Rhinolophus ferrumequinum: one gene and its partners. The protein of the gene in region 3 interacts with the protein of the main gene of each other region in a pairwise test. Links are inferred from orthologs where the notes say so. Each region holds a gene or a part of one and is shown on either strand. Other genes may lie near its edges. The genes, in order: HK2, TMCO6, UBQLN1 and HSD17B12.

What was found.
Region 1: the proteins of UBQLN1 (region 3) and HK2 interact in binary tests that used the Homo sapiens proteins (3 or more experiments, as listed by UniProt). The two-hybrid records come from large-scale screens. The link is inferred for Rhinolophus ferrumequinum from reciprocal best matches to the Homo sapiens genes UBQLN1 and HK2.
Region 2: the proteins of UBQLN1 (region 3) and TMCO6 interact in binary tests that used the Homo sapiens proteins (3 or more experiments, as listed by UniProt). The two-hybrid records come from large-scale screens. The link is inferred for Rhinolophus ferrumequinum from reciprocal best matches to the Homo sapiens genes UBQLN1 and TMCO6.
Region 4: the proteins of UBQLN1 (region 3) and HSD17B12 interact in binary tests that used the Homo sapiens proteins (3 or more experiments, as listed by UniProt). The link is inferred for Rhinolophus ferrumequinum from reciprocal best matches to the Homo sapiens genes UBQLN1 and HSD17B12.

The regions. Positions count from the first base shown.
Region 1 is NC_046296.1:17,289,208-17,296,161, forward strand, and holds the start of HK2 (hexokinase-2), read right to left. Parts: upstream 3,004-6,954; coding exon 2,941-3,003; intron 1-2,940. UniProt on the Homo sapiens protein: Catalyzes the phosphorylation of hexose, such as D-glucose and D-fructose, to hexose 6-phosphate (D-glucose 6-phosphate and D-fructose 6-phosphate, respectively).
Region 2 is NC_046307.1:15,176,357-15,183,179, reverse strand, and holds the start of TMCO6 (transmembrane and coiled-coil domain-containing protein 6), read right to left. Parts: upstream 3,009-6,823; 5' UTR 2,898-3,008; coding exon 2,813-2,897; intron 2,687-2,812; coding exon 2,574-2,686; intron 1,065-2,573; exon of another isoform or gene 1,063-1,064; coding exon 947-1,062; intron 841-946; coding exon 657-840; intron 504-656; exon of another isoform or gene 409-503; coding exon 304-408; intron 150-303; coding exon 64-149; intron 1-63.
Region 3 is NC_046295.1:47,098,042-47,105,235, forward strand, and holds the start of UBQLN1 (ubiquilin-1), read right to left. Parts: upstream 3,009-7,194; 5' UTR 2,521-3,008; coding exon 2,341-2,520; intron 1-2,340. UniProt on the Homo sapiens protein: Plays an important role in the regulation of different protein degradation mechanisms and pathways including ubiquitin-proteasome system (UPS), autophagy and endoplasmic reticulum-associated protein degradation (ERAD) pathway.
Region 4 is NC_046294.1:16,773,290-16,781,207, forward strand, and holds the start of HSD17B12 (very-long-chain 3-oxoacyl-CoA reductase), read right to left. Parts: upstream 3,014-7,918; 5' UTR 2,880-3,013; coding exon 2,720-2,879; intron 1-2,719. UniProt on the Homo sapiens protein: Catalyzes the second of the four reactions of the long-chain fatty acids elongation cycle. This endoplasmic reticulum-bound enzymatic process, allows the addition of two carbons to the chain of long- and very long-chain fatty acids/VLCFAs per cycle.

The DNA of each region.
Region 1 (6,954 bases), on a different chromosome or scaffold from region 3:
TGACCCCAGCAGAAGGTGGGGTGGGCAAGAGCATGGTGCTCTGGAGCCCGACTAAGTGGCTTCAATTCCTAGCTCTTATGAAAAAAGCTAGTGATCTTGAACAAGTTAATTCTGTGCCTCACTTCCCTACCAGTGAAACAGGGATGCTGATAAAACAGCAGGTCCTCAAATAGAATAACGTTGTTTTGATCAATGTCATTTCATTATAATGTTGATGAGATGCCACAGGAACTTAATTCTTGTTTATATCAATTAGACCATGGTAAAAATTGGTTTCATTATACATCATTTCTCTTAAACTCACAGAGCCTATCATTAAGCAAGGACTTACTGCAATTGTATCTACTTCATAGGGTTGTTGTGAAAGTTAATGAGCTAACATGCGAAGAGCTTAAAACAGTGCCTGGTACACAGTAGGTGCTCTATGTGTTTGCTCTTGAGTTTCAAACTGTCAATGGCAAAAGTTAACAAATAATCCTAATTCCCTTCCTAATGGCACAAAACACTGGGCTTGTGCATCAGGAGACAAGTGACCCCAGTGGGGCCAGCTAGTCCTGGGCAGGTGACCCTAAGCTTTCCATGCCTCAGACTACAACCCAGGAGACATAAGATGATGGGGATTTCAGAAGCATCCAAATCAAGGCCTGATCAAGACTCTAAAATTAAACTCAATTGTCCTCCTTCTGTGCTAATTCTTCCTCCTAGCAGCAACTTGAAAAGAAGCTTCCAAAATATTCTCTCTGATTCTCTTCCTACTTCCTATGTGTTTGCAGCTGGAATCAAACATCTGTGCTCACTTAAGGTTCTAACACCTGGTGAGTTAAAGGCCTGATTCAACTCTGCCCCCATTGGTAATTTAGAGGAAATACACCCAAGTGTCCCCCAGGCACTTCACAGGATGAAAGGTAGCAGTTGCAAGTGTACAGAAGAGAAGCCAACAAGAAAAATGTTTTCAGATTGCGGTGCTTAATTATCACAACTCCATAAATTGGACAGGGCCGCTGTTTGTCATCCCCATTTTACAAAAAGAAATTGACAGTCCAAAGAGGCAAAGTGCTGTGCTCAGGGTCCTATGGTTAAAAAACAAAACAAAAGAAAAAAAACCCCACAAAACAGAGATTAGAACTCATTTCCAGATACCAGGGCTAATTCTCTTTCCACTTTGGGACCAAAGAGATAGTTTCTTTCCAGGCCAGGAGGGTGGTACAACTCCACAGTTCACGTCCTAGCCTCCTTCCTCTGGATTGGGGAAGAATAAATCTGTAAAAGAATTAAAATGTCCTGGGGTGGTATTCACCCAACCGAGAAGACCTTCAGTTGGAGTGAAGATCCTACATCTTTGTATTTTAGGACTTGCCAAGGGATGACGGTCTTCCCCAAGTGTTAACTCTCTTCTTGGGCAGAGAAGCCCAAAGAAGTTGCCAAGATCCTGCCAGCTCACAGACACGTTCTTAACTAAACTGAATTAAAGTGCAGAGCAGGACCACATCCCAGGAATGAGTTAGTGAATAAACAGAGAAAAACTCAACTCAAACAGCCGCCCTCTGCTCCCTACTCTAGTCTGAACCTGAGTAATTCCCTGCTTTATTGGGGGGGAGGAGGCAGGGGGGCGTTCAAGTGCCAGGGCTCTAAAAACACCAAGACCCACCATTCTCTCCTTTGCTCTCAGGGTCTCCAGGACGTAAATACAAGCAGGTTGCCCACCAAACAATAATGTCAAGACATTTTTCCCAAAAACGTGTTCTCATTAAAACACAGAAACTTTAAGTACCGTTTGTAATTGAGCAATGCTCCGTCAGTGCCTCACAGCATTGGGCACTGCCCACCCTCGCCCCAGCCCATCCCCTCTTCTCAAATCCTAGCTGAGGCCCACCGCCAGGAGCCAATCCTGAAATCCCGAACATTTCAGAAACTGAATTCTCCCCAGAGTGATAGGTTCTTGGGCCCAACCAGGCCCCACCCCCACCCCATACCCGGAGGCACTGAGAGCTGGGCTCTCACCGCGCGCCAGAGGCTCTTTTTTATGTAAATGATTGGCCCGAAGGGACCGCTCGGACTGGGGAGCCTGCTGTGCGCGAGGTGGGCACAGACAGGTCAGGTACTGGGGCAGGACAAAGCTCGTTTTCGGAACGACAGAAATCTCAAGGAAGACAGGAGGGGCGGAGGTGGGGGGAGTTAGTCGTCTCTGAGTAACTTTTAGGAGCACCAGAAATAACATCCTAAGTCCGCCCCCCCCCCCAACTTGGAGACGGCCCCGGGGACCCAAGGCTGTGCAGTTCTGAGGCAGATGGAAGACGGGGGGCCTTGTACGCCCCTTGCGGAGCCTCAGTTCCGGGCGCTTCAGTTCCGGGGAGTGGGCGCAGCGGGCGGAATTCCTCCCTCTCTTTCCCAATTCCCTCGTGGGTGGGCCTCTCCCCAAGCACACCTCCGCAAGGCGGAGGGGAACGCCAGTAGGAACGGCACTTCCCCAAAACGCGGTACTTTTGCGCAGGAGGCCCCTGGCAGCCCCACGCGGCAGCGGAGCCTCCTCCCCCAGCCACAGTTCTCCCCACGTGTTCTCGCCGGAACTCAGGCTGCGAAAGAGGGGCTCCTCCCACGTGGGCCCATCAGTCTAAGACTCCTTGCCCGGTGACCCGCCCCTCCAGAAAAAAAAAAAAACGCGAGCACGCGCAGGGTGGCAGGGAGTGAGAGCCGCGCGGAGCGCGAGCCCCAGCGCCTCACGCGCGCGCGCACACGCCTGCCTGTGCCTAGCGGACGTGGCTCCTCGTGCCCAGGAGTTTACCCGGCCGCCCAGACTTTTTCCACGTCCTTCGCCCTGAATGGGGAAGAAGCATGTCCTCTCGGGGTCAAGGAAAATTCCGGCCGGGAACCCGGAGAATAGGCCGGGGACCATACAACTTTGTCAGAGGCGAGCCAGCTGCCTCTGCCCGGCTTACTTACCTTCTGCACTTGGTCATGGTTGAGCTCGGTGAAGAAGTAGGCGAGCAGATGCGAGGCGATCATCCTGTGGCGGACCGACGGCGCCGAGTTGGGAAACCAAGGCTGGAGCGAGTGTAGGAAAGGAGGGCAGCACGGTTGGAAAGCTTTATACCCGGGCTTGGCTGCCCGACTGGGAGCGGTAAGTCCGGGCGGCCCACAGAAAAGGCTAACAGTGATGGCACGCCCGGCTGAAGGGTCTCGGGTCTCTAGAAATAGGTTTGGGGAGTCACAACTGCTAGAAGGCGCCCAAGAATCACTCCCGGAGACGTCGGGTTGCCCCGCTGTCAAGGCTCTAACTTCAACCACAGGATCACTAAGGCTCAACTTGGGAAGAATCGCAGCTCGGCTCCACTAAGGCGATCGGACCTCTCCGGCTCACACGCGCCCTGCTCTCGCCCACGGATCTTCTCCGCTAGGTGACTCGGCGTTGCTAGTGGCGGCCCGGGACTCCTGCACTAGAGTTTCGTGCAACAATGTGCCTTATTGAGGGGCTGCCGGCTCCGGGGCCGCCCAGTAAATGACGCGCGCACGCCCATTGGCTAGACTGGGAGGGTGTGTGCACCACGGGCCGCCCGCCGCCACAGCACAGCCAATCAGCGCGCAAGGCCCGTGGGCGCGGCCGCTCAGACACCCGAGCCTGCAAGCCAGAGGGGCGCGCCGGGGTGGGGGGGCGGGGCCGGTCGGCAGGGATGAGACGTGTGGTCCGTGGCAAAAGGCTGGAGCGGAAAGGCGCATGAGCCACCGCCGCGTCAGACTCAGCTATGGGTGGGGGGCGCGTGATCACAGACCTGGCGTGTCGGGCGACTGGTAAGACAGGTCATCCGACCAACACACGTCCTGTGCAGGGACAGAGATACCGTTTGGCATCTCGTTGTCATGTGAGGGGCCCCACTGGCGGGTCACACTTCTGAAGTATCTTAGTTCTCACCTATTGTGGCTCAACGGGTCCCAGCAACACTGATGCAGAGCGAGCTGCCGCAGCTACTGCTTACTTGATGTCAGGCATTGCAAAACTGATAGAACTTGGCTTTCACAGTTTGTATAATGAGAGAGAGAGAGAGAGAGAGAGAGAGAGAGAGAGAGAGAGAGAGAGAGAGAGAGAGAGAGAGAGAGAGAGAGAGAGATATGATAGTTTTATTATATGTATTCTTTCTCAAATCTTTCCCATCTCTCCAACGATCCTAATTCACATACCCAACATCTCTCACTTGATTGCAACAGCCTCATATTTGGGCTTCCCTCTTTAGATATAGAAACATCATAGATTGTACATAGACTTAGATATCCAACAGAGCTTCTTAGAGGAGTGAGGTGGTCAGCTTTGCTTTTTTAGAGCAATAACTGCCTCCCTGTGGATTCGGGGAAGAGGTCAGAGACCAGAAGCAGAAAGCAGCCAAAGCTGTAAAAGAGGACCAGGGCCTGAACCCCGGGGAGGGTTAGGCAGAGCATCAGGCTATGGGTTCACATGTTTTAAAGTCTGAGTTAGAATTTATGGCTTTGTCCAGGATTGGGTGATGAAGAGCAAGGATGCCTGCTCCCTAGATATAGTTGGAAACCCAATAGTCCAGTGCTGCAAAACCCATTGGTCCCAGGCAGTTGGGACCAAACCCAGTGGGTTGTATCAGCTATGATCTGTTCTCCACAAACTAATTTTAGAGTCTCTTCTCCACTTCCCTCTCTGGTCCCATTTCATGTTGACCAGATAATGAAAGTACATACTCATATTATGTCTTATAAAGTTCCCAATCCCAGGAGGGGGTGGAAGTAGTATTGTTATAGCCCTAATTTATACATGACTAAGGGGGGTTACCCACACAAGGCCAAGACTGTATCTTCAACTTTTCTGATTCCAAACTCCATGTCTGAAGTTTATTATTTATTGATTCTCAGCTATCTCTATCTCTCTCTCACACACACACACATTGAAGAGACATCCATGTAATTGAGACTCCACAGCACCAAGAGAGAAATCAATCAGCAAATATTTATTAAACAAACGCTTACAATATTTAGACAGTCTGCTCAGTGCTGTGAGAAATATGAAAGAAACAAGATGTGGTTCTTGTCCCTGAGGGATTAACTATTTAATCAGAGATATAAAATCCATACATAAAACAATGATTACAGAATGGAAAAGTCTATCATCGAGAGCCAAACATGTGTGTGTGTCTTTATATGTGATGGAGTTTGGGAGGAGGAAAAAACAGAGCCACAGGCCAGAGTGAGCCAAGGGTGGTCTGATGGATACAAATGCCAGCTTTTACACCAGGCTGGATCTGGCCTCGTATAGGACTGACCTGAGCCGGGCACTAAGCTTCAGGGAGCTGTCCTGGGAAGATGCCACTTTATTAAAAGAACTTCATCTACTAAATATTCATTTTTCTAATTAGGATTCATCAAGTTTGCAGGTTAAGTGTGGAATTATGTAGAGAATTTAATATTGATAGTGGGCCTGCCCTAAATATACTCAGGACTCCTTGTATCATGTTGTCTTTAAATATTGGACCCTAACGATCTGCTTGTTTCATAGTTCAACTATAATGTATGAATTTAGAAGATTGGGAAAGAAAGGCATTGAAAAGCAGTTCAAATAGAAAAATGGAACCCACAAGATACATAACAACCTCATTTTATCATTCAGATTTGCAAACAGAACAAATTCAAGCTATTTTCAGCAGCAAGGGAGTTTGCTGAAGAATATTTAATCCCTTTCAGGATCTTCAGGAAGGCCAGAAAATCAGGCTCAGAGGCTAACCATCCAAGAGTGATGTCCAAGTTATACCATTGAACTCCACTAGTGGAAATGCTACTGCTATGACCATTGGGCTCAGGTACCTCTGCCCACACTCCTGATGCTGGCACAGAATTTAAATCCAGGACATGCCACAGCCACCTTTGACAAGATGTCTGTCTCTCAGTATCCTTGCTAGAAGGAAATCTACACAGTACCTCCTTCTTTATGGCATTTGCTTCCAAACTGACATCTAGCAGATGGTGGCAAGAGCCTGGGCCAAATGTCCATGCCCTAGCTGCAAGGAAAGTGAAGAAAGCATGCCCAGGAAGTCAGGATCCACAAGTGGGAGAAGTCCTCAAATGTAAGAAGGGTATTCAAAGGGGCTGGCCAGGCCCAAAGCTTGACAAACATCCACCCCGCCCAACAGTCACTGAATATGCTGTATCAGAAAGTTTAAAGTGCCCTTAGACAAATTGGCTTCCTAACATTCCCAAATCTATCCAAAAGATTAAAAAATAAGACATGTGTTCTCAGTGGGAGCTAAACTAGAAAGTAGTCAGTACGCTAAATGACACCAGGAAAACTCACTGTCAATGAATTGACATGGGCTGGATGATTCACCCTGTCCACACACATTCCGTATCCCAGAGCCTGTCCACAGATGTATTCAGTGTCACAGTAAATGAGAAAAGGCCACTGTGAAATATTGCCAGGAGGCCCCCATCCAATGCCATTCCAAACATGAGGGCTATCGTGTCTGATTCTGTCATCCTTCTGGCCCTATGGCCATATATTCCCCAGACGGTTTGCTTGAGAAGAGCATGGCAGCATGCTGAGGCTGGCATGGGAACACTATGTGGTCTTGGACCTGTCTGAGCCCCAGTTTCCTCTTCTGCAAAGTGGAGATCATGAGATGGAACGTGCAAAGCCTTTCGTTCAGAGCCTGGTATGTAGTATATCTTGAATACCAGTTTCTAAACACATATTTCATATTATCAAGTCGTCTATGCACTAAGAACTCGGTAGTTAAAGAAAATTCCAGGGCCAGCCCGGTGGCCCAGGCTGTTGGAGCTCTGTGCTCCTAACTCCAAAGGCTGCCAGTTCGATTCCCACATGGGCCAGTGGGCTCTCAACCACAAGGTTGCCGGTTCAACTCCTCGAGTCCCACAAGGGATGGTGGGCTCTGCCCCCTGCAACTAAGATTGAACATGGCACCTTGAGCTGAGCTGCCTCCCAGATGG
Region 2 (6,823 bases), on a different chromosome or scaffold from region 3:
CATCTAGGGGCTACTGCCAAGTGGGTCAACCCTGCCTGCACATCTGGAGATAGTTTTACTTACGGGATGATCTTCTCTGGCGCTTCCTTAGCCTGCAGGAGCTGGGACAAGGCATATCCAAGGGCTTCCAGCACAGTCAGATGGGGGGACTAGAAGGAGACACGGTAGGGATCAGACTCTGGAAGGTCAGATTTCCTGAGACTCAACCTCTTAGGCTGAAGATGCCTAACCACAGCAGCTGGGGCAAGTGGAAAGAAGTGAGGGGAGGGGTGCCCAGGGAGGAAAAAGAAGGTGGACACTCACCTGGATGCAGGCAGCCAAGGCTGGAACAATGCCCTGTGGCAGGAGCTGCCTTCTCACAGCTTCACTCTCCACGATCAGGTTCCCCAGTGTATACAGACAGAGCTCCTGAGAGCAGGACAACAAAAGCACTGGACGTGGCTCAGTTCAGGCCAAAATGGGGGCGGGGGTGGGGAGGATGGAGTAGCTCTGTCCTTAAGGCTCTAGGCACAAAGAAGTGGGGGGTGACAGGTATGTGTATGGCTGTGGGAATCGGGAAACAGGGTTTCTTCTCTCTACCTGCCAGCTCAAACTTGATCTAAAAGAACACTTTCTAAACTCAAGCCAAGAACAAGGTAGGAAGAGACAGGGCTTACTATCAAGTCTGAGCTGTGACCGGAGACGTAGGTGAGAAGGTAGGAAGTGGCTGGCAGGCAGGCCTCAGCCACCGCAGACTGCTCAGAATGAGAGAGCTCATGAAGGCACCGAGCCGCCTCAAGCTGCAGCAGGGCCTGGTTGCTGGTCAGAAGCCCGACCAGGGTCCGCATGCTGCCCTCCAGCCTACATGAGTGAGCACCAGAGCCATGCTCAGCCTGTGGCCCACCCCGTCCACACTCCTATCCATCCCTCAAAGCCCCAGCCACTCACTCTCACCACCCACACTGACCCGATGAAGGTCTGCTGCGTCTCTGGGTGCTGCAGGCCTCGACGAAGGGTGACCAGAGCCCTCTCTCTCTCCTTTTCCTCTGTCCCCCGCTGGGATAACCGCAGGAACTGCTGGATCTAGAGCCCAGGGCAGGGAGAGGAGAGATGGCACAGTTGCCAGAAAGCAAATCATGAGTCCTGCTCTGCTCACTTCACCTGTGAGCCCTCCAGTGTTGCACTATCCCTAGAACTTGTCATTCACACTAATATGGCTAATAAGTGGACAGAAGGAGAGTGGACAGAAGAGGGAATCAGGACTGGGTTTAGTACCGGCCCTGAGACTTCCTCTACAAGGGACCCAAATCTTTTTCTCACCTGGAATATGGGAATAACATCTATCCCCATCTTCCTACAGGGTTATTTCAAGGATAACATTTTAACCTCTCAGCCTGGCATAACCTACCCCTCCAGTCATTCTCCCTATGCGACAACACCTAGCATAACATGACTTCTTAATGCTGCCGAGATTTTGACCAATCTATATCTTCTGCCTGGCATACCCTCCCCAGGTCCTCCATTCCCTTCAGATTTCTGTTCCTGTCACTGCCTCTGGGAAATTAGCTCTTTCTGGCTTCCTTTGGCAGACTTAGGGGTTTCTATTGTGTCTCATGTTGCCTTCATGACAGGTGGTAGCACATCTGTCTCCTTCACTGGGCTGTGAACACTTCAAAGAAAGGAACTTTTCATCTTTGTGTACTTCAGTACCCTGCAGTGTCTTGGCATAAAGCACACACTAAATATATGGTATAACTTAGGCACCTGTGAGTACTTTGTAAACTACATACGTAAACCTAGACAATTCAAATGCAGGGGAAGTCCAATGCTTGCTGAATGAATAAACAAGCTATAACCATTCTTCCATTCACTTATTCGATAAGCACTGAGTATCTACCACATGGCAGATACTGTTCAGGCATCTGAGTTTTCAGTGATGACAAAGATAGGGTCTAGGTTCCCATGGTTTTAAAGTCTAGTTGGAGAAATAATTAACAAGCAAATGAACAATTAGACAGTATGATTAATATTCTGCAAACAGCTGTCAGGACAGAATACCAAAAGGGACCCACTTAAGATGAAGCAAATGGAAGGCCTTGAGACAGGAAAGAGCCTGGTATATTGTTCCAAGAACTGAAAAGGGGCCAGTTTGGCTGAGATGAGTAAGCTGATAAGTTTGGAGGCAGGGAGAGGTTAGACCATGCTAGACTTTATAGGTCACAGGAAGGATTTTGGTCTCTGTGTCTTTAAAAGACTCATCTGATTGATGTATGGAGAATGAACCTGAGGGTGGCAAGCATAGAAGCAGATGACCGGTTAGGAGGCTGCTGTAAGTATCCAGAGGAGGGTGGTGGGTGCTGCGAAGACGAGGCACGTAAAGACTCCAGAGGTAAAAATCGGCTAGGACTCCATAAAGTATTGATGTAGGAATGAGGGTCGGAGTTGTGGAGGGTGATACCCGTTTCTGTCTTGGCCCACTGGATAGGTCGAGTTCTGCAGGGACCGCGTTCAGGTTTGGAGACGGATCTCGAGTACTCGAGGAAGGAATCTGGCTCCAGCTAGTGTAGACTTCACCACGCACCCTGCCCCCTTACCTCAGTTTCCCCGAGGATCGGGGCCACACATCCCCCGTCGGCTTCCTCTGGGGCGTCATCTCTCAGTAGCCTCTTGCTAACAAGCTGCTGCTCCCTCCGCGCCTTCCGCAGGGCTGGGGATAAAGGCGCGGGCTGAGGTGGAAGGGGCACCCAGGACCCCGAACCCCGTCTCCCACCCTCCTCATCCTGTCTCCCAGCGCCAAACCCCCATCCTCCCGTGTTCCCTCGCCGGCCCGCACCTGCCTCCCGCTCCCGCCGGCGGCGTCTTAGCTCTTCCACCCCGCAGCCCACTGGCCTGAGACGGCCGTGCCGTTGACTCCACATGGTGAAGCTGGAGGAAATTCGCAACCAGCGAAAGGCCGGGAATAGAAACCCCAGGCCTAGAACGTGGCGCGCGGGTCGCGCAGCCGCAGCGCAGGTCTGAAGGGGAGGAGCGAGCGGGCGGGGCTACGCGCGAAGTGAAGGCGGGGCGGAGCGAGGGGGCGCAGCCAGGGGCTGGGGCTGGGGCGGGGGGCGGGGCGGCGCGGAGGGAGAGTGGGATGGAGGGAAAAAGGGGAGAGTGGAGAAGGAAGGGGCGAAGGCCAAAGGTGGGTTGGGACCCGGGCGGAAAGTCAGTAGCGTCACCAACCGCTCAGCAAACACAACCTCCCCACTCCTAACACACGCTAGAGAAACATTCAAAACTACCCCAAGCTCTAGGAAGATACAAGATGCCATTTCACCAATAACTGGACTCCCACTGATGAGCTCTGGCTACATGCTGGCCAAGTGTTGCCGTATTAAATGTTCGCCATAACAATTACCCCCATTTTACAGGTGAGGAAAATGAGACAAATATGATTATTTCACTCTTCTACATAAAAGTGAGTCACATTATTTTTAGGATAAAATAATTCTTTTGCCAAATTTTGAGCGCCACTAATCCATCTACTAGGTACTAGGGAAACATTGGTGAGTTAAAAAACGTGTTCTTACCCTCAAAATCCGACCTGTGGCCAATTTAAGCCCTACATGGTCTAATCCCTGCACATGTCTCCAGTTTCAGCTGGAAGGGCTCCACACCTTACTCATCTTTTCTGGATCTTCTCTTTGTTTCCTAAATAAGATCTGCTCTTTTCCTCCTTCCTGCTTTGCACAGGCTATTCCTCTGCCTAGAGCCCTGTCTCTGTTCCCCCTACTCCCTACCCCAACCAGCACCCTCCCCTTTATTAACACCATCCTCCAGATCTCAACTCCAGTGTCCCTACTGAGAATTACTGAGACAGTTGCCCCTGTTACGAGAGTGTATAGCACCATATACTTCTTCACAAACCTTTTCGCAGCTTTCATTAAGTTATAATATCATTGATGTGATGTCCTCCCAACCCCCCATCACAACTCTAAGAAAGTAGAGTCCTGGTAGCATTTAAGAGGTGTCATTTGGAGGCCTCTAATTTTCAGAAAGCTATTACTTAAGCAAATGCACAAATAAGAAAAAATACAGGAAAAGGCATTGTTTTTCAAATCAACTTCTTTCCCTTGAATTTAATTCTACTTCTTGAAGTCAATCAATAAAGTCTTCGATCTCTTCCATAAAACATCTACTTAATAGCCGTTGGTCATCATCCTCTCCTCCACATCTTCTCTCCAGGCCATGTATTGAGTACCTGCTGTGTACCATGCTCTGGCTGGGGATAGGGCCTGAGTCTTGTCCCTCTCCTCATGGACAGGCTGACTTCTATACACGCATCTTTCTATTGGTGGGGAAGATAAGACAAGTCCCTAGGCAAACGCTATGTTCTACCCAGAAACAGTTATGGCTGCCCAAACTGCCTTTTTACACTTATCTGCCTGGCAACACTGTTAACCCTATAAGAAACAGCCCCATGTCCACCCTACTACAGGGCTAGCTGTTCCTGTCTCCAGAGCTACCGTGAGTCCTTAGTTTCTCCTCTATAGGAGTCCTCTTCACTATGGACAGTAGTTCTGGGTCCATTTTCACCTCCCCCACCTACTGTAGTACTTGAGGTACTGAGTGATGGTCATGTAGGCATCCCAGAGCTTTGCACCAGCCCTTAGTAGACAAAGATAGATATTTGTCTTGGTAGACAAATGATAGATATTCTTGAATTAAGGTGTGAGTTAATTAAGGTGTGAGTAAGAATCTTTACAGACACTTCTTGCCCTTGTTATCTTGGACTCCTCATCCAGAGTGCCTCCACTAAGGTGATGGGATTTGCTGAGGAGCCAGGCTTCAGTAGTCTGAGTCTTCTGAACGCAGAGTCTCTGACAAAGAAGATAACAGTCAGGGCTGCTGTCAATAGATGTCACTCTGTGCCAAAGACTTTACTCATAGATAGGTACTATTATTATGTCCATTTTAAAAACAGACATTCAGAAATCTGAGGTCCAGACACTTGCCTAATCTGGCAACCTCAGCGGTAGACCTAGGATTCCCTGCCTGGCTGTATGACTGCAGGGTCAGTGTACTTAACACTGAGCTATCTTGGACCACATCTTGGACCTCAGAGATGTCCCAGTGACCTGGCCTGGCCTTGGAGCTTAGCTCAGGGTATCAGGACATGTCTAACAGGACACATAGGGGGAAATGTGATCTCATGAGGCCTCCTTGTTTGGATTGGGGACAGATGTGAAGCTACTTCTTGAAAATAGGAGGAAGTGAGAATTCAAATGTTTTTCACGTAGCTCTTTCCCCAAAAATCCAGAGGTGCAGACCTGTGAGGACCATTGTAAAAGTGTTCACAAAAAATTTTCCATAGCTGAAAGCTTTTCTGAAAGAAAGGGTTTATTGAGCCATATGCTCTCCAGAAAAGGACTAGGTCAAGGACTGGTACTAGAGCATGCAGTCTACATCACCAGCAGCACGGCTAGGTGGAGAAGGCAACATGTCCACCAGCCTGGCGTTGATAGGCTCTTCTATTCATTATGTTTGGGGAAGACAGGTATAAATTATTTGAAAGAATTTACATTGGATACAGATAAGGGGGTGGGAAAAGGTGAAGTGGAGGCAGTTCTGATAGGTGCACAGTCTATAGGGAAGATTTATTTACTACTTTTGATTGCTTACAGACAAGAGTCCTGGGTGTTCCTGTAGGACGCAGTGTTCTCGTGGTTGGCTAGTAGACACTTGGAGGTTGATTCAAAGCTCCAGCATTCATTCAGGAATGTGAGCAGTCTTTGTTAGTTGGCCCACAGCTATTAACTGGTTAATTATTCCTGTCTCTTTCACTCACTCTCCGGTTGCTGTAATTTTATTTAGAACATCTCAGAATTTTTCTCTTGTCAAAGCATAAACCCTACCCCACCCTCTGGGACACTTGCTTTTTTTTCTTGTTAAAATAGTTAAGTTACATTCAACAATTAATCCTCATTCAACATAGGTCCAGCCCTTCCTTCCTAGGACACAGAAATTGTGTTGAGTGAGAGGTAGGGGAGAACAGTGCAAGAGGGAAAATTGTGTTAGAAATATCTAGTTTTTCAGTTTCAGGATGGAGAAAAGAAAACTATAAGAGAGTAAGTGACTTGGCCAACATGTTTCTGTTAAACACCTCTACTTAAGAAAGCTATTATTTTATTATTTTCTTAATCAATAAAGTTAAACAAAGAACAAGTCAGCAAAAAAAAGAAGGAGGAGGAGGAGGAGGAACAGGAGGAGGAGGAGGAGAGAGAAGGCGGAGAGGAGGAAGAGAAAGGGAGTTGTTTTTCAAAACAACTTCCTTCTATTAAAATTAATTCCAGGGGCAGCTGGATGGCTCAGTTAGTTAGAGTGGGAACTCTGAACAGCAGTGTTACCGGTTGGATTCCTACAGGGGCCAGTGAGCTGCACCCTCCACAACTAGATTGAAGGACAATGACTTGGAGCTGATGGGTCCTGGAGAAACACACTGTTCCCCAATATTCCCCAATAAAAAAAATTTTTTTTAATTAATTCCAGCCCTGGGAGTCAATAGATGAAGTTTGTTTGCAATCTATTCCACCAAATACCCAGTTAAATATCTGAAGATATTTAGGGGATTGCACTTGGGTGGCGGGAAGTTAATAGTAACCACCAAGAATAGGGAAACGTCAAGGAAACTCCACAGGTTGAGTCACTGGGATATAGGCAGGGAGGTGAGAGTCCAGGCAGGAGGCACCGGCAGAATTCCTTTCTCCAAACCCACCAGGGCGCCTAAGTCATCAGGACACTGCCTGGCCCAGGGCATATTCAAGGTCCTGCAGGATGCTTCCTGTTACACCCCTCCTCCCAGCAA
Region 3 (7,194 bases):
CGAACCTCTCTGTTGACAAACATTTCAGTTTACGAATGCCGTAAACCCAGAAGTAAATGCTTTGGTTTTCAAACACGCCTCGGAAGTGGAATATGTCACATGGCTTCCATGTCACATGGCTTCCGCTGAGTGCAAGATCCTGAGGCCTAGCTGTCAGCTGTTTTCAAACGTTTCAGAACTCGAACGGTCTTCTGGAACAGATTACGTTAAAAAACCGAGGTACCATTGTATTTAATGAGACAAGCATCTGTCCAAAAAAGATTTGTACAAGAATGTTCACAGCAACTAACTGGAAACAGCCAAAGTAACCTCAACAAAATGGATAAACTACGGTACAGTGGTACCTCGGTTTTCGAACATAATCCATTCTGGAAGACCGTTCTGAGTTCTGAAATGTTCAAAAACCGAGGCTCGGTTTCCCCATAGGAAGTAATGCAAAATGGATTAATCCATTCCAGATCTTTAAAATCAACCCCTAAAACTGCAAATTCAGCATGAATTTTACTATTTAATGATACCATAGATCCATAAAACTTACGGCGTTCATAAACTGAAATGTTCGTCAACGGAGATGTTGGAAAACCTAAGTACCACTGTATATTCATACAATGGAAAACAACACAGCAACAAAAAAGGAATCAGTGATATATACAAGAATAAATCTCAAAAACTTATATATGCTGAGTGAATAAAAAGCCTTACCCAATACATACTATATAATCCCACTTATGTGAAATTCTAGGGTGGGCAAAACCAACCCATGGGGAAAAAAATGAAAACAGTGGTTGATGGAGGGGAGAGTGACTGAACTGACTGGGTAAGACGTAACTTTCTAGTCTACTATAAAGTTCTACATCATGATGAGTCTTTAGATTACACAGGAGTTTTGTGGAAATACACAGAATGGAAACCATGTGTATTTTATTGCAAGTCAAACTTAAAAAGAAAAAAATTAAAAGAAAAATTGAACTCAGGTTAATGATGTGCACATTGCTGAAGTTCTTTTTAAGGGTAACATGAATTGATACTTACAACTTACTTTGAAATTCATCCAAAAAATAAAATGGACTAATAAATGATGTGATAGAGCAAATACAGCAAAATGCTAATTGTAGGCAATAGACATATGGGTGTTCGTTGTCTAATTCTTTCAATTTTCCTGTATGTTGTAAAATATAAAATTAAGGAAAAATTTCCTAGGAAAATTGAGACAAAAAACGTGGTGATTCAGTAGGTGGTAAAAGTTTCTCTCACTCGATGCTACATGCTCTACTTACCGCTTCAAAAAACACACCACCTTTTGGAACTATATAAACCAATACCCCATTTACCGTCCCTGGGGAAACAGGTACATTTTAGGGTCTGCTGTTTCCTCATAAACTGTTCACAATGTTTGAAATCGCCAGAGATCAATAATTACAGAAAATTTTCTGGGATGTATTCAACAAAGTTAAAACCATTTGTTGAATTCTTCAAGATTTCTAATTAACTGCACAATTTGTATTCCTGAAGATTTTAAGTTATAAATTATTCGATAGCATTGTCCATTAACGCCAACTATGTTCTTTTATTCGATTGCAACCGCTACGATAATATCTGAATAACGCAGCTATCGTTCCTCTAAAATCAAACAAAAAGCAACTCAATGATTGGCATCTAAGGCAAGATAAACACATTAAAAACAGCAAGTCATCATTGCAAGTCATCCACCTTTCTCCTTAAGCCTAGTATTACTTCTTACGATGTGGCTGTACGCAATATCTACGTCATAGTTAATTTAAAAAACTAAATATAAAGTATGGGCAAGACATCAGCAGTCAAAATGCAAAACTAAATGTACACGTGCTCCTCACAGTAAAATCCACCTTAACCCACAGGCAGGTAAAACAATGAGCACCCCCCGCCCAGTTTTTTTATTCATGAGACAAAACCGCCGACTAGATTAAAGTGAACCCTCGCCCCGGCTCAGCCTTCACCTCGCCAGGAGCCAGACGGTGAGTCCTTTTCCTTTGTGCTGAGCAGCGGGGAGGCGGCTGGGGGCGGGGAGCTGGGGGCGGAGGCTGGGGGTCCGTGGACGCCAGAGCAAAAGGAAGGCGCGGAGGGAAGCGGCGTCGGCGCGTTCTACAAACAGGCCGCGCGGCCCCGCCACAAACCTCAGCGGTGTCCCAAGGCGCAAATCCACGGAGTTGGGTGTGATCTAATTTGGGACGAGCCCGGAGATGGCCGAGAGCACCTCCGGGGACGACCCCCTCCCAGGCCTTTGCAAAGCCGTCTCCTCCCGCCGCGGGCGGAGGTCCTGCCGCCACCCCCACCCCGGCCCGAGCGCAGGGCGGCCCTCACCTGCTGGACGGAGCTATTCTCGGGCACAGCGAACTCCTCCTTCTCCTTCGGGGTCTTCACGGTGACTTTCATGATCTTGGGCTCCGCGGAGGCAGCGGCCGCGGGGGAACCGGCACCTTCGGCCGCGGCGGCGCTGTCCTGGGAGCTCGGAGGGCCACCGCTTTCACCACTCTCGGCCATGGCGGCGGCGGCAGTGACTCAGGAGGGTGCAGGCGAGCGAGGGGGAGCCAGGAGACGCCACAGCAGGCTGGCTCGGGCAACGGAGAATACAGGACGCGCCGCCTTGGTGTCAACAGGCGCAGGGCCGCGGGCGGCGGGCCGCGGAGCTGGGTGTGGGCTCCGGTGCAGGCCCGGGTCGGCCGTTCGGCAGCCGCCGTTCAGACGCGGCTTGGTCGCAGCGACATCCGCAGCCGCCGCCGCTTCCTCCTCCCCACCCCTCCCCAACGTCCCTCCGCCGGCGCGGCGCAGGGCACGCCGGGTAATGCGGCTGGCGGCGTCACCGAGTCATGCCCAGCCGGCGCCGCTTCGAGTTCCGGCTGCTTTACGTTCCCTTTCCCGCTCCATGGCCCAAATTGTAGGCACGGCCAGAGGGAAGGACTAAAAGCAAAGTGTAGTGGGAGAGGTCAGTTCATTTCTTTTCACTCCTTTCACCAAAAAATAAATTCGCAGGTTCTGGGAGGCACTGTCACGGCGCACGGGAATGACGTTGCGCCTAGCGAAAATACTAGAAAGGGGGCTCGACCACTGGGCGCTGCTGCTGTGGTCGCGGCTGCGCGGTGGGGGTCCAGTTAGTTCCCCCTACCCGGTTCTGTCAAAGGCCGTGCCGCCGCGCTCGCGGGTCTGGGCGCCCTCCGTACATCCCACTGGGACGGGGGTCTGTAATAAATGCAGGGGAGGTGTTTTGTTATTTTAATACGATCAGTTTTTGCCTATTTGGAAGGTTTAAAATGCTTGATCTTAGTGCCCAGTGCGCGGAAGTTGGAAGTTAAGTTAATGGAGGAAAAATCCTCATTACGAAAGGAAAATGTAGACGTCTCCAGCCGCTGTGCGCAATCCCGCGAGTCATTGCTCTATGGCCACGGCTTCCTGTCCTTGGGTCAGGCCAGTGTGCTCAGGTGATCAGGCCACCTGTGTTGACTGGGGCCTCCGCTCCCGCTCTTACAATCCTGCGCGAGCACCGCCACCCCCCCAATTTTCTGGGAACACTATCCCATAAATTGGGACAGAAACAGTGCCCACCCAACTAGGAAGTTTAGCCGAAGTGTTCCATTTTATATTCTACCAAATTAAGTTACTGCTCTATTTCAAACTTTAGGTAATATTAAAGATAATTATTTTCAATGTAGTGTAGGTACAAATAAGGAATAAGAAGTTATTTTCCCCTTGAAAATTCCAAATTTAAAATGATGCCATTGTTTGCCTTTAAAGATGACTTTCAAGGAATGTACAACCCAGAACGTTAACTTTATTAATCGGTGTTACACAAATGTAAACCCCGACAGCCCAACGTGACCCAAATATTGCAAAGATGCACTCTGCATTTGTTTTTAAATTATCCAACTCTCTTCTGGGAAAAAAATACTGTTGCATGAAGACTACTTTAAAGCAGAGTCCCTTTGGAATCTGGGCCTAAGGAGTTGTGAAAGTATAAATTGGGGCCGGCCTGGTGGCTCAGGTGGTTGGAGCGCTGCACTCCAAGTGCTAACAAACAGGTGGAGGAGGTGGCTGGTTCAAGTCTCACATGGGCCAGTAAGCTGCTCCCTCTACAGCTAAGATTGTGAACAATGGCTCTCCCGGGAGCTGGGCTGCCATGAGCTGCAGGAGGTTGGCGTGGGCTGCTGTGGGCTGCTATGTGCTGCGGTAGGCTACCATGAGTGGCCAGCTGATTGCCTCAGCAGGGAGGGAGTGCAAGGCTCATAATACACAGCTGGACTGAGAAATAGGGCTTGAACCAGAATGGGGGGCAGGGGTGAGGGCAGGCGGAAGAAGGGGGGGGGAAAGTATAAATTGCAATATAGTCATCATCTGGTATCAGCTAAATTTCTGACAGCATTGTTCAATAACATATGCAAGGCTCTCTGCTGAAGGATGACTATATTTGTGTCTAGATGTAAGGTAATCATTACTTCTCAAGGTAGAAAATTCCACCATTGGACAACCAGTCATTTATCTCTAACCCAACACTTAAGAAAATTGTTCTGTAATTAATTGTCTACATTAATTTCTAAATTCTGAAGTATTTGCACAATTTATGAAGTACTGTATCTGTAAGAATATATGGTATAGTTATTTGTTCATTAAAGCACTTTTTAGAAATAATCCTACCTTGTAAGGAACCTTTGAAGATGGGGGTCCAGATCAGGGATCAACAAACTTTCAAGTAAGACTAGATAGTATGTTAGACTTTGTAGGCCATACATTCTCTATAAATACCGCATATTCCCATATAGCTTTATTGCTGTTTTTGGTGTCACTTATCACATTCTGCCGTGTATTAAACGTAATTGTGTCTAGTCCTTTATTAGACAAGATCTTTGAAAACAGGGATCAAGTCTTAATCACACAGTGCACTCAGTTCCTGGCTTCAGAGTATTTATTGTTGAACTGAATTATTGGGCTGTCATGTTTCCACTAGACAGGAAATTTCATTTAGAACTCTAGATCATATGCGTACTTTATACTGCTATACCTTGAAACTTACTTGCTTCGCAATAGGTTCAGAGGAAGGAACCATTCACTGTGTGAAGCTCTCAGCCTAATGATTTCTTTTCAGATAACAAATTTATTCAACACATATGTATTTGGACTGTGTTTCCTGACCTTAGGAGGTTATCCTATGTGAAGAGTCTGCCATCATGTTGTGTAGACTAAGCAAATGAGCCATGGAGAAATTTTAAGTACTCTCTGAGATCAGAGAGAAGTAGGTGAAAATGCAAAATCTATTATGTGAAGCAAATCATCTACGTATTCCAGAGAATACTAATGCTTATAGGAAAAGATGCTTTAGGATGTTGGGAGTTCTGTAGTACTTAAGAAGGCAACCTATTGAGATAGTCTACATACCTGTAGGCAGCTGAGAGGTGTTTTAAAAAAGAAAAAAACGTATAGCCTTCAATCACTCCATTTCATCCCAATAATTCATATAACGTGATTCCCAAGTGAATTGAAAGGCGAAGACAGAATGACAGTGTGATTTATCTGAGTTATTCTATAATCAGGCATTGTGAAGGGTCTGAGATTTTCCCACTACGTACTTACAAGCCAAGTTTCATGAATGCTGGCAGAAGACAAAATTCCTAGGTTGGAAACAGACTTTGTTGCGGTAATAGCAGTAGCCAGGGTACCATCATTTTTTTTATTTTTTTTATTTTCTTTTTTTTTGGCACCAGTTCAGCAAGCCCTAACCTCTGAAGAATGATGCAAAGAGGGCCAGGTGACACCTGCACATACAGTGACTTGCATTAAGAGAAATCCCAAGCGTGGGGAACCCAGATCTTACAAATGGGCAGTAATCCTGCAGCCCTTTGCTCAGAGATCTTCAAGGACAGTTCGCTATACAGATATCCTTGAAAACATAGTCCAAAACAAAGGCAGTACATTAGTTTCCTATTCCTGCTGTTAACAACCACAAATTTAGTGGCTCAAAACACCACAGGTTTATTACCTCACAAGTCTGGAGGTCAGAAGTCCAAAATGGATCTTAGAAAGGGTTAAAATCAAAGGCTGTGTTCCTTCTGGAGGCTCTGGGGGACAAATAGAATCTGTTCCTTGCCTCTAGAGACTGCCCACATTCTTGGTTTATGGACAAATCACTCCAACTTTGCTTCAATTGTATATCTCTTGACTCTCCTGCCTCCCTCTTTCCCTTATAAGGACCCTTGTGATAACACTGAGCCCTCCTAAGTAATCCAGGATAATCTCATCATCTCTTAATCACATCTACAAAGTCCTTCACATGTAAAGCGTCAGAGTCACAGGTCCTGAGGATTAGGATCTTTGGGGAGCCATTATTCTGCCCACCAATAGTAGTCAGTGCCTGTATTCACAAAATACACACAATATGAGAGACCCATGAAGAATTATCTCCCGATGATATCCACTCCTTGTTTTTGCACTTCTTGGCTTCTGGAAAACTCCTTTGAGGGTGTCACTCTGTTGGTCATTGTGATTAATCTGACCACCAGAGGCTGGGATCAAATCCATTTTTTGTCTCTAGAACATTTAATAAGGCTATTATCAACAAGATTCCAAGTAGCAAGATGAGGCCAACCTGCAGTATTAACTGCTCCTCAAGGGTCCAGACCCAATCAACTGAACAAATCCTATAAACCATCGAGATCTACTTTGGCTGCTTCCTTAGTACTGTTTCTGTATTGACTTCCCCTTGCCCCAAAGCATTAATCTGGGTATGGCAGGATGTCTTAGCAATTGCACATACTTTGCCATGGCTTATGAGGAGGGAGTCTAGAGCAATTACATCATAAATACCCTGAGCAGCGAGTTGAGGTTGACTTGAATGCTTTCCAGGGCCAATGTGATGTCATTGATCTCTTCAGCTAAATTCAGGACAAATTTTGTTCCACCTCTTCTAATTGAATGATTCTCGTAAGAATAACTGCTCCCAGGTTCATACAAATAGCAAGAAAGTTATTCCTCTGAGAAATACTTCCAAGAAATCAAGGGCAGCCTCATTTTGGATAGTCCTCCCTGTCAGATCTTAGTGCTCTGTGATCTACCCGTGGTGTTTCCTTAAACACTTGAAGGCCTCTTATGACCACCCCTAAGGTGCAAAACACTGTTTTTTCAAGAGGAGGCAAATTAATGCCTAACATCCACATAAGTACAGCTCTGGGG
Region 4 (7,918 bases), on a different chromosome or scaffold from region 3:
CCTTTGTTAGCATCTTCTTTTCATTACTTGCCACAGTGACCTTCAAACAACTGAAGCTTCACTTTCACAGGATCTCTTTGTTCTCCTAAGAAATACAGGAAGTATCGCATAACAATGACAGGCCAAACAGTCTTCCCTACTAAACTGGCTAAACCCATCTGCTAGGGACCTGGTGAAACCACTGTAATTCACGGAGTGGGAATGTTATTGGAGCGTACTTGGGAAGAGATGACCACGCTCTTGATTGGGAGATGGAGATAAACTAGCGTATGGGGCAAGCAATGGATGGTCGTAAAAACCTAACTAGACTAAGGAATCTGTGGTCTGGAATATGTTTACTGATTGCAAAGCATGCCTGTATTTCAGGGTTTTTCCAAGCTTTTCTTTTTAAGTTTAGAAGAGATTTTATCTGACCAATGTGCCAGTCACTGTGGGAAAAGACAAAAAAATGTGGACCCACAGTCCCTGCCTCTCAGATTTTGAAATCTGAGGAGGAAAAATGAAACATAGTCACATGAAGAGATTTAAGAATAACAAGAATACAAAATATATTATTAACTCAACACAAATGAGGATGTAATACTTAAAATATTTAATTGATATGGAGAGGAAGATGTCAAATCAACAGTAAGTACTAGAAAGTAGGCAATGCCTCCCTAATACGTACTGCCTGCTACTTGCTTTTATTCAAGTTTGCGCATGATTAAGTAAGCAATTCTATAGGAGAGAAAACTTATTAGTATTGTTTATTGACAAAATTAATTCTTGACTCCTAACTTTGGTTGAACAAATTACCCACTTATTTTTAATCACAATTTAATCCTATTTATTCAAGTATCATCTCTGCTGGTTTGTTTTTCAAAGTATTTCAGTACACCTGTCCAGCTGACACAAAGAACCTGTTTAAGATGAGCTACTCTTAATGTTCTTTGTTTTTCAAAGATTCCCTGAATTTGGAGGGATGACGGAAGTATTTTAAGACCCAGGCTACCACATACAAGCATGTAAGTAATGTTACAAATAACTTGATCATTTCTTATGCTTACGTACTTAAAAAAATTTTCCAACAATCCAGGGTAAACTGAACTCAACAATATTTCATTTTATGACACTATGATCCTCTCTGCTATATTCCAGTGTTCTAGTTCAACTTTCATTTCTAAATCTTTTAAACATTTCCCTTCATTAATCAAAAATCTTTCTTCTGGCATCAAATCTTTTCAATACAAGTATTACTTACAAAATGACCATGTCACACACTTGACTTTTACTATGGACTCATAGAGATGACTTGGACCATTTTAGTTATTAGCCACTATGGTCAATTTTAGATATATTTTTAAAAGCTATTAACCTCCGTCTTTGCTTACAAATTACAAAACTTCATCTTGATATATGATTTCCCAAGACTCTGGAGTCTTGTGTAACTATTTCAAAAGTCCAACAACAAGTTTTCCAAACCTCACAACCAAGAACTTGGGCAAGCCAATTGTGAAATTATAATCCTGATTATAATCAAGTTGAACACTTGCTTTCTCAAAGAATATTTTTTAAAAGGTTATTTTTTTTAAATTAGTACTATGTTAAGAGCTGCTTCACATCGTGGACAGAGCTCTTATATATCCATTCCCTACTTGAGAGCTTTCTTTATACTGCTGCCCCAAAAGGGTATTAAAATGTTTCTAAATGAATAAAGAATATGGAGTAATATTATTTGTGTACCTTACTTGAGCCTAATCTGAAAACAACCCCAAACCACCCCAAAATCCAATAAAATGCTCGAAGTCAGCATTCATATTATAAAACAGCAGAATAATCACATCAGAGAACGACCACAGCGTATCACTTGGTTTAAAAAAAAAAAAAAGTAAGAGAAACGAAAAATAAAGGAAAAAAAAAAAGCAACAATAAAGCAGAAAAATAAAACCAAGCGCAAAACTTCCCTGCAGGTAATTTTCTCAACTTCTCCAACCTGACCTTTCCCTTCCATTTTTAAAATCCTCCGAGTGGATGGAACAAGAGCCATTTGCTTAGCTCGCTCTTTGTGGAGATACTTTTTCCCAAATGTCCTTCTACAAAAAGTATTTCTGATTTTTACATGAAGAGTTACCGTTTTGCAGAAGCAATAGTTCATGAGGACTCCAACAGTTTACCGAATATTTTCTTTTAAAGGTTTTGTAAATTACATGAAATTGGCTGAATCCAAGTAACTGGAGGGGTAAGTTTCCACAAAGCAGGAAGACTTCGGAAATTCTATGTCCTCTTCCTTCAGCCTCACCCCAAAAAAGCGAACAGAATGCTTTTCATCTTTAACACAGGGCCAGTATTCAAATCCAATGAAAATATTTGTAAAACACTCGGAAGGGGTGAACAAAGGTGAGTAGAGTGTGACTGAGAAAGCAGCAGAGACTGACTTCGAGCCATGAACCCGGAATGGCTTAAAGGATAAGCGCCCCAGAGAGTTCAGGCCAGATTTCTCCTTTAGATTCGCTCGAGTTGGGCCAGCAAAGTATTTAGCATTTAGAAATTACAAGTCTAGGCAAGCCAGAGATGGCTAAGGGGCTAGGCGGGTACGCAGGAGCCTCACGAAGGAGAGGGGAGCAGGGAAAGGGGAGGCCATGCGCTGGGCCCGGAAGTGGTCAGCGCAGGCCAAGCCGGGCCGCAAGCCGCGCGACCCGCTGCGGGAGCGAGAAGACCGACGGCGCTGGATCCGACTCACCTGCCCATTCACCGAGCCCTGGTCCGACCCCAGGCTCGTGACCCAAACCCCAGACCCGAAGAGCCATGAAGAGCGAGCACGAGATGCGCAGGGCCAGGTAGGCCACGGTGCCCGCGCCCACCCAGTACAGGAAACCGGCGGCAGGGAGAGCGCTCTCCATGGCTTTCAACCAGGCCTCACTACTTTCGTGAATGAAAAAAATCTAATGAATGGATCTTGGAGGAGGAACCGGCCGTGACGGTGAGGACAACTCTAATAGGCGCTGCTCCGGTACCGCTTTTGGCTGAAACCCCGCCCAGAACGCCATATCCGTGCCGCCATTGGTGATCTATCTTTTCCTCAGCGCGTAGTGCGTCAGCTATTGGCTGACTCCAGTTGCACTGCCCGGCCCATGCCCCCGCCCTCTTGCGCGCCCGGCCGTGTTTCCGTTCTAGGGAGACTGATGGCTCACCTGCCACGCCCTTAGGATTTCGGCACGTCTCACCCTACGAAATAGCCCAGGTCTCTCATTGGCTGCAGCCGGAAGACTGCACTCCAATTGGCCAATGAGACCCAGCCTGGTTTGAGCTCGGGTTTGAAGGGGGAATGGGATCAGAGAAGCCACTGGTGAATAGCAAGATTGTAGTAAGAAATGGCCGTGCAACTATGGTTTTATTTTCACCTCTTTATTAAGTACTTCTATATCATTGTTAAATAGGCTCTCATTGTTCCCATAAGCTTTTCCGTATGAAGTCTTGCATCTCCTGTTTCTATGCCTTCTCCGCAGCACACCTTCACTCCGGTTATATTCACTTACTGTTTAAACAACATAGTTCCCAAAGTCGCGGAGTTCAAAGCAAATGATTTCATGGAGACAAGTAACGAATACACAATGGCATAAGAGATGTATGATGAATGAAAAATGTATTAACAGCTTGATGAACAATTAGTTCTGGAAAGGGACGCCATGTTTTTACTGGGCCTTAAAGGATGACAGATTTTTCTTTTACTTTCTTTTTTTATTTCCTTTTTTTTTGTTGGGGTGGGGGGATTGAGATGAGAGGAGGCACAAAAGTGTGCAGTCTAAGTAGAAGTATGGGAACTATTTCACCAAAGTTCCGGAGGAGAAAGACCACGAGGTAAGTTTAAGAAATTGTGTAATGCAATACAATGCTTCACACTTATTCTATAATCAATTTTTGTTTCCTTTTCTGGTATGGATTTGGACTCTTATAAGGTACCTACAATTTTTTCTTTATTTCTAGAGAGAGATACCTCCCATTCTTTCTCCACTCTCTTTTGAGGAATAGAGTGAAGAAATAAAATGGAGTCACTATAGTCAGCATGACAAATTACTAAAATCAAGTAGGTTGAGGCATGAGGAAACAATTCTATTCCTGTTTTAACTATCCTGGGAACTTAAACTTTTGAATTTTCCAGTCCTGTATCAATTCCTGGATATACATCAAACCTCCAGATAACCCTCTGATTACCCCCTGAAGGACTAAGGAAAGAATATTCATGTATCCGGACCATCTGGCATCTACTATCCAGACCACCAGTCATTTAGAGGATTATTATCTTAAACCAATCCAGAGGCTATGAATGCAGGACTGATTCTTCTTAAGAATGTATTGTTTACTATAAGAACCCTTAGCTTTTCTGTCTTCTTTGAACACTGTGGGTATTGCCCAGTTGTGTTTCCAGTTTGCAAACTCTCAGACCATTAAATAGATCTTTGTCATTTATTTCTAGCCAAAGCCTCCAGACTCCTTTTGAGTTTGTTTGACATTTACCAAATTAATTAAGTGTAACCCTGAGGCTGTACTGTTCTTCATAAACTGATAACTGTCCAGGATAATTCAGCCATGTAAGTTGAGCTGGCACCATATTTTATTTCAATGGAATTTGATACCTTTGGCTGAGGCTGCCTGTCCAATTCAACTAAAGTCCTACTATTCCTCTCCCTCAGCCTCTTCCTCTTGCCAAAATCTTTACCTACATACAGCCCCAAATGTATACATCCCATTTCATTATTGCTCACCAACAAAGGGCACTCCAAATATTAAGTCCTATTCTCCTTAGGATAAAGTAGAAGGAGGGGAAGAGAGATCTTATAAACTAAAAATACATATTTTTGTTGCATTTGTAATATGCATGTCTATGGCCCCGACTAGAATTTATGATTATTGGGAGCAGTATGCTATGAATCCATTGAACCTAGAATAGGGCCTGGGACCTAGAGACCCTCAATAAATGTCTGACAAGTAAGTAAAAGATTCATTCATTCAACAAATATTATTGTGTTCTAATTATGTACCAGTAAGGAGCTAGGTACTGGGTATGCAATAGTGAGCAAATGGTCAATTCTTTGTCCTCATCCTACTCTGCCATTCAACCGTGGGTGGCCACTGTTTTCCTCACCAGCTGCTCCTTCCTAGAGTCTTTTGCTGTTCCCTCCTTTTGCTGGCCTCTAAATGATGCAATGCCCATGGGCTCAGACCCCAGCTCTCTTTACTTCTCTACACAGTCTCCCTGCATGATTTCATCCAGTCCCTTGGGTTTAAGTATCTGCTGTAAGCTCATGACTTCCAAATGTCTGTGGCCGGCCTCAAATTCTGTTGAGGGGGGGGTGGGTGTGTGTGTGTGTGTGTGTGTGTGTGTGTGTGTGTGTGTGTGTCTCTACGTGCCTACTCAACATCTCCACTCAAATGTAAAATAAAAATAAACGTCTCAAACTAAACATTTTCAAAACAGAACTCTACCAGCACCACACACACACCTCTCTTATTCCCATCTCTATTAAAAGCACCACTATTTACCCACTTTCTTGTAAGCCCTAAAATTTAGGGGTCAACCTTGACTCTCTTTTTTTCCATTACAGTCTCATGTCCAATCCTTCAGCAAGTCTTGTTCACTCTCCCTCCAGAATGTATCTTAACTGAACCTTCTCCCCACTCCTGTTACTGTCAACCTCATCCAAACCACAAGCATTTCTTGAGTGGAGTACGCCAATAGCCTCCTAACTGGTTTCCCTGAAGGCTGTCTTGGGGATGACTCTCCAGGCAGGAACTAGAGTGTTTATTCTTTAAGTAAATTAGATATTATTTCTTCTGCTCAAATCCCTTAAGGACATTATATCACATTAAGAAGAAAGTCCTGGAGCAGCCAGATAGTTCCGTATGGTAGAGCGCAAGCTCTGAACAACAGGGTTGCCTGTTTGATTCCCACATGGCCATGAACTGCACCCTCCACAACTAGATTGAAGGACAACGACTTAGAGCTGAGGGGCCCTGGAGAAACACACTGTTCCCAAAATAAAATTTAAAAAACAAGAAGAAGAAAGTCCTCCTAGTGTACCTGCCCTCACCTCTCCAGCAGCATCGAGCCCCCTTGCCTGTGCTCACTTGATTTTATCCACACTTCCTGCAGTTCCTCAAATAAGTCAAGTTTATTCCGGTCTCAAAGCAGTTCTACTTCCTGATTCCTCTCCCTGGAACCCCTTGCGCCCTATTTCACAAGGCTCACCCCTTCATATTATTTAGGCTTTTGCTCACACATCCTTCCCCTTCAGCGGTTTTCTCTGACTGCCCTGCATAAATATCCCAATAGCCTTCTCTCCTTTACCCTGTCACTACTTATTCTTTTCCCCTAATTTGTTTTTCTTATAACACTTAATGCTTTCGAATTGTTTATTTGGTGTTAGTCCATCTTCCCAATAGAATGTAAGTTCCTGAGGCCAGTGACCTTTTCTTGTTCACTGTGTCTTCACCTAAGATATGCACCTAAGACTACCTGACACTTAGTAAGTCCAGGTAACCCCCATGTAACACGCACTTCTGTAACACGGTTTTGCTCTATGGTTTGAGAATTAGAGAAATCCCCAAACAACACGGAGCGTAATAAGAGCTTTTAAGAGCAAAAGATATCTCACTTGAAAATTTTCATTCAAGCATGGATGTATCAGACTTGACTGCAGAATTTTACAATTTAAATCCGTTTTGTTCATGGAGTATTAAATTCAGAGGATAAAGATACCTTGTAAAAAAGAAAACGCCCTTGGGGCCGGCCCGGTGGCTCAGGCAGTTGGAGCTCCGTGCTCCTAACTCCGAAGGCTGCTGGTCCGATTCCCACATGGGCCAGTGGGCTCTCAACCACAAGGTTGCCGGTTCAACTCCTCGAGTCCCGCAAGGGGTGGTGGGCTCTGCCCCCTGCAACTAAGATTGAACACGGCACCTTGAGCTGAGCTGCCGCTGAGCTCCTGGATGGCTCAGTTGGTTGGAGCGCGTCCTCTCAACCACAAGGTTGCCGGTTCAACTCCTCGAGTCCCGCAAGGGATGGTGGGCTCCGCCCCCTGCAACTAAGATTGAACACAGCACCTTGAGCTGAGCTGCCTCCCTGATGGCTCGGTTGGAGAGTAGGCTCTCAACCACAGGGTTGCCAGTTCGATTCCTTGACTCCCGCAAGGGATGGTGGGCTGTGCCCCCTGCAACTAGCAATGGCAACTGAACCTGGAGCTGAGCTGCGCCCTCCACAACTAAGACTGAAAGGACAACAACTTGACTTGGAAAAAAGTTCTGGAAGTACACACTCACTGTTCCCCAATGGAGTCCTGTTCCCTTTCCCCAATAAAATCTTTAAAAACAAAACAAACAAAAAAAAAAAACCGCCCTTGGTTTAATGGTTCTTAGTAGCAATGACAAAGAAAATATTTACTACATATTAATATGTTATACTTTTGGTGAAAATTGCTTTAATAAAGACATTGCTCTTAATTATAAAAATATGATAGTATTTTTTTTAATTTTTGGAACCTAACCCCCTCTTTTGTACTAGTCCTTTGTGTCGTATAACACAGATTCACATAACACGGCATTTTTAGGAACCTAACGACCATGTTATACGGGGCGGGGGGGGTACCTGTATGCAATAAATACCTGTTGGATGAATGAATAAATAAAAACAGTCTAATGGGAGAGAGAGAGACATCCAAGTAATTATATGACAAAAATTGTAATAAATACAAAGAAAAAAGAATAGGACTTAAGGAAAGAAGATCAAGGGAGGACCTAATTGGATGGGAAGAGGAGACTTCCCTGAAACGCCTTTCTAAGGAGGTGGCATTTGAGCTAGGAGCTAAGAATAAGTAGAAATTAATCTGGCAAAGAGTACGGTAGGGTTGAGAGGAGAGAGCAGCAAGTATCATCAATAGTTTTGTTT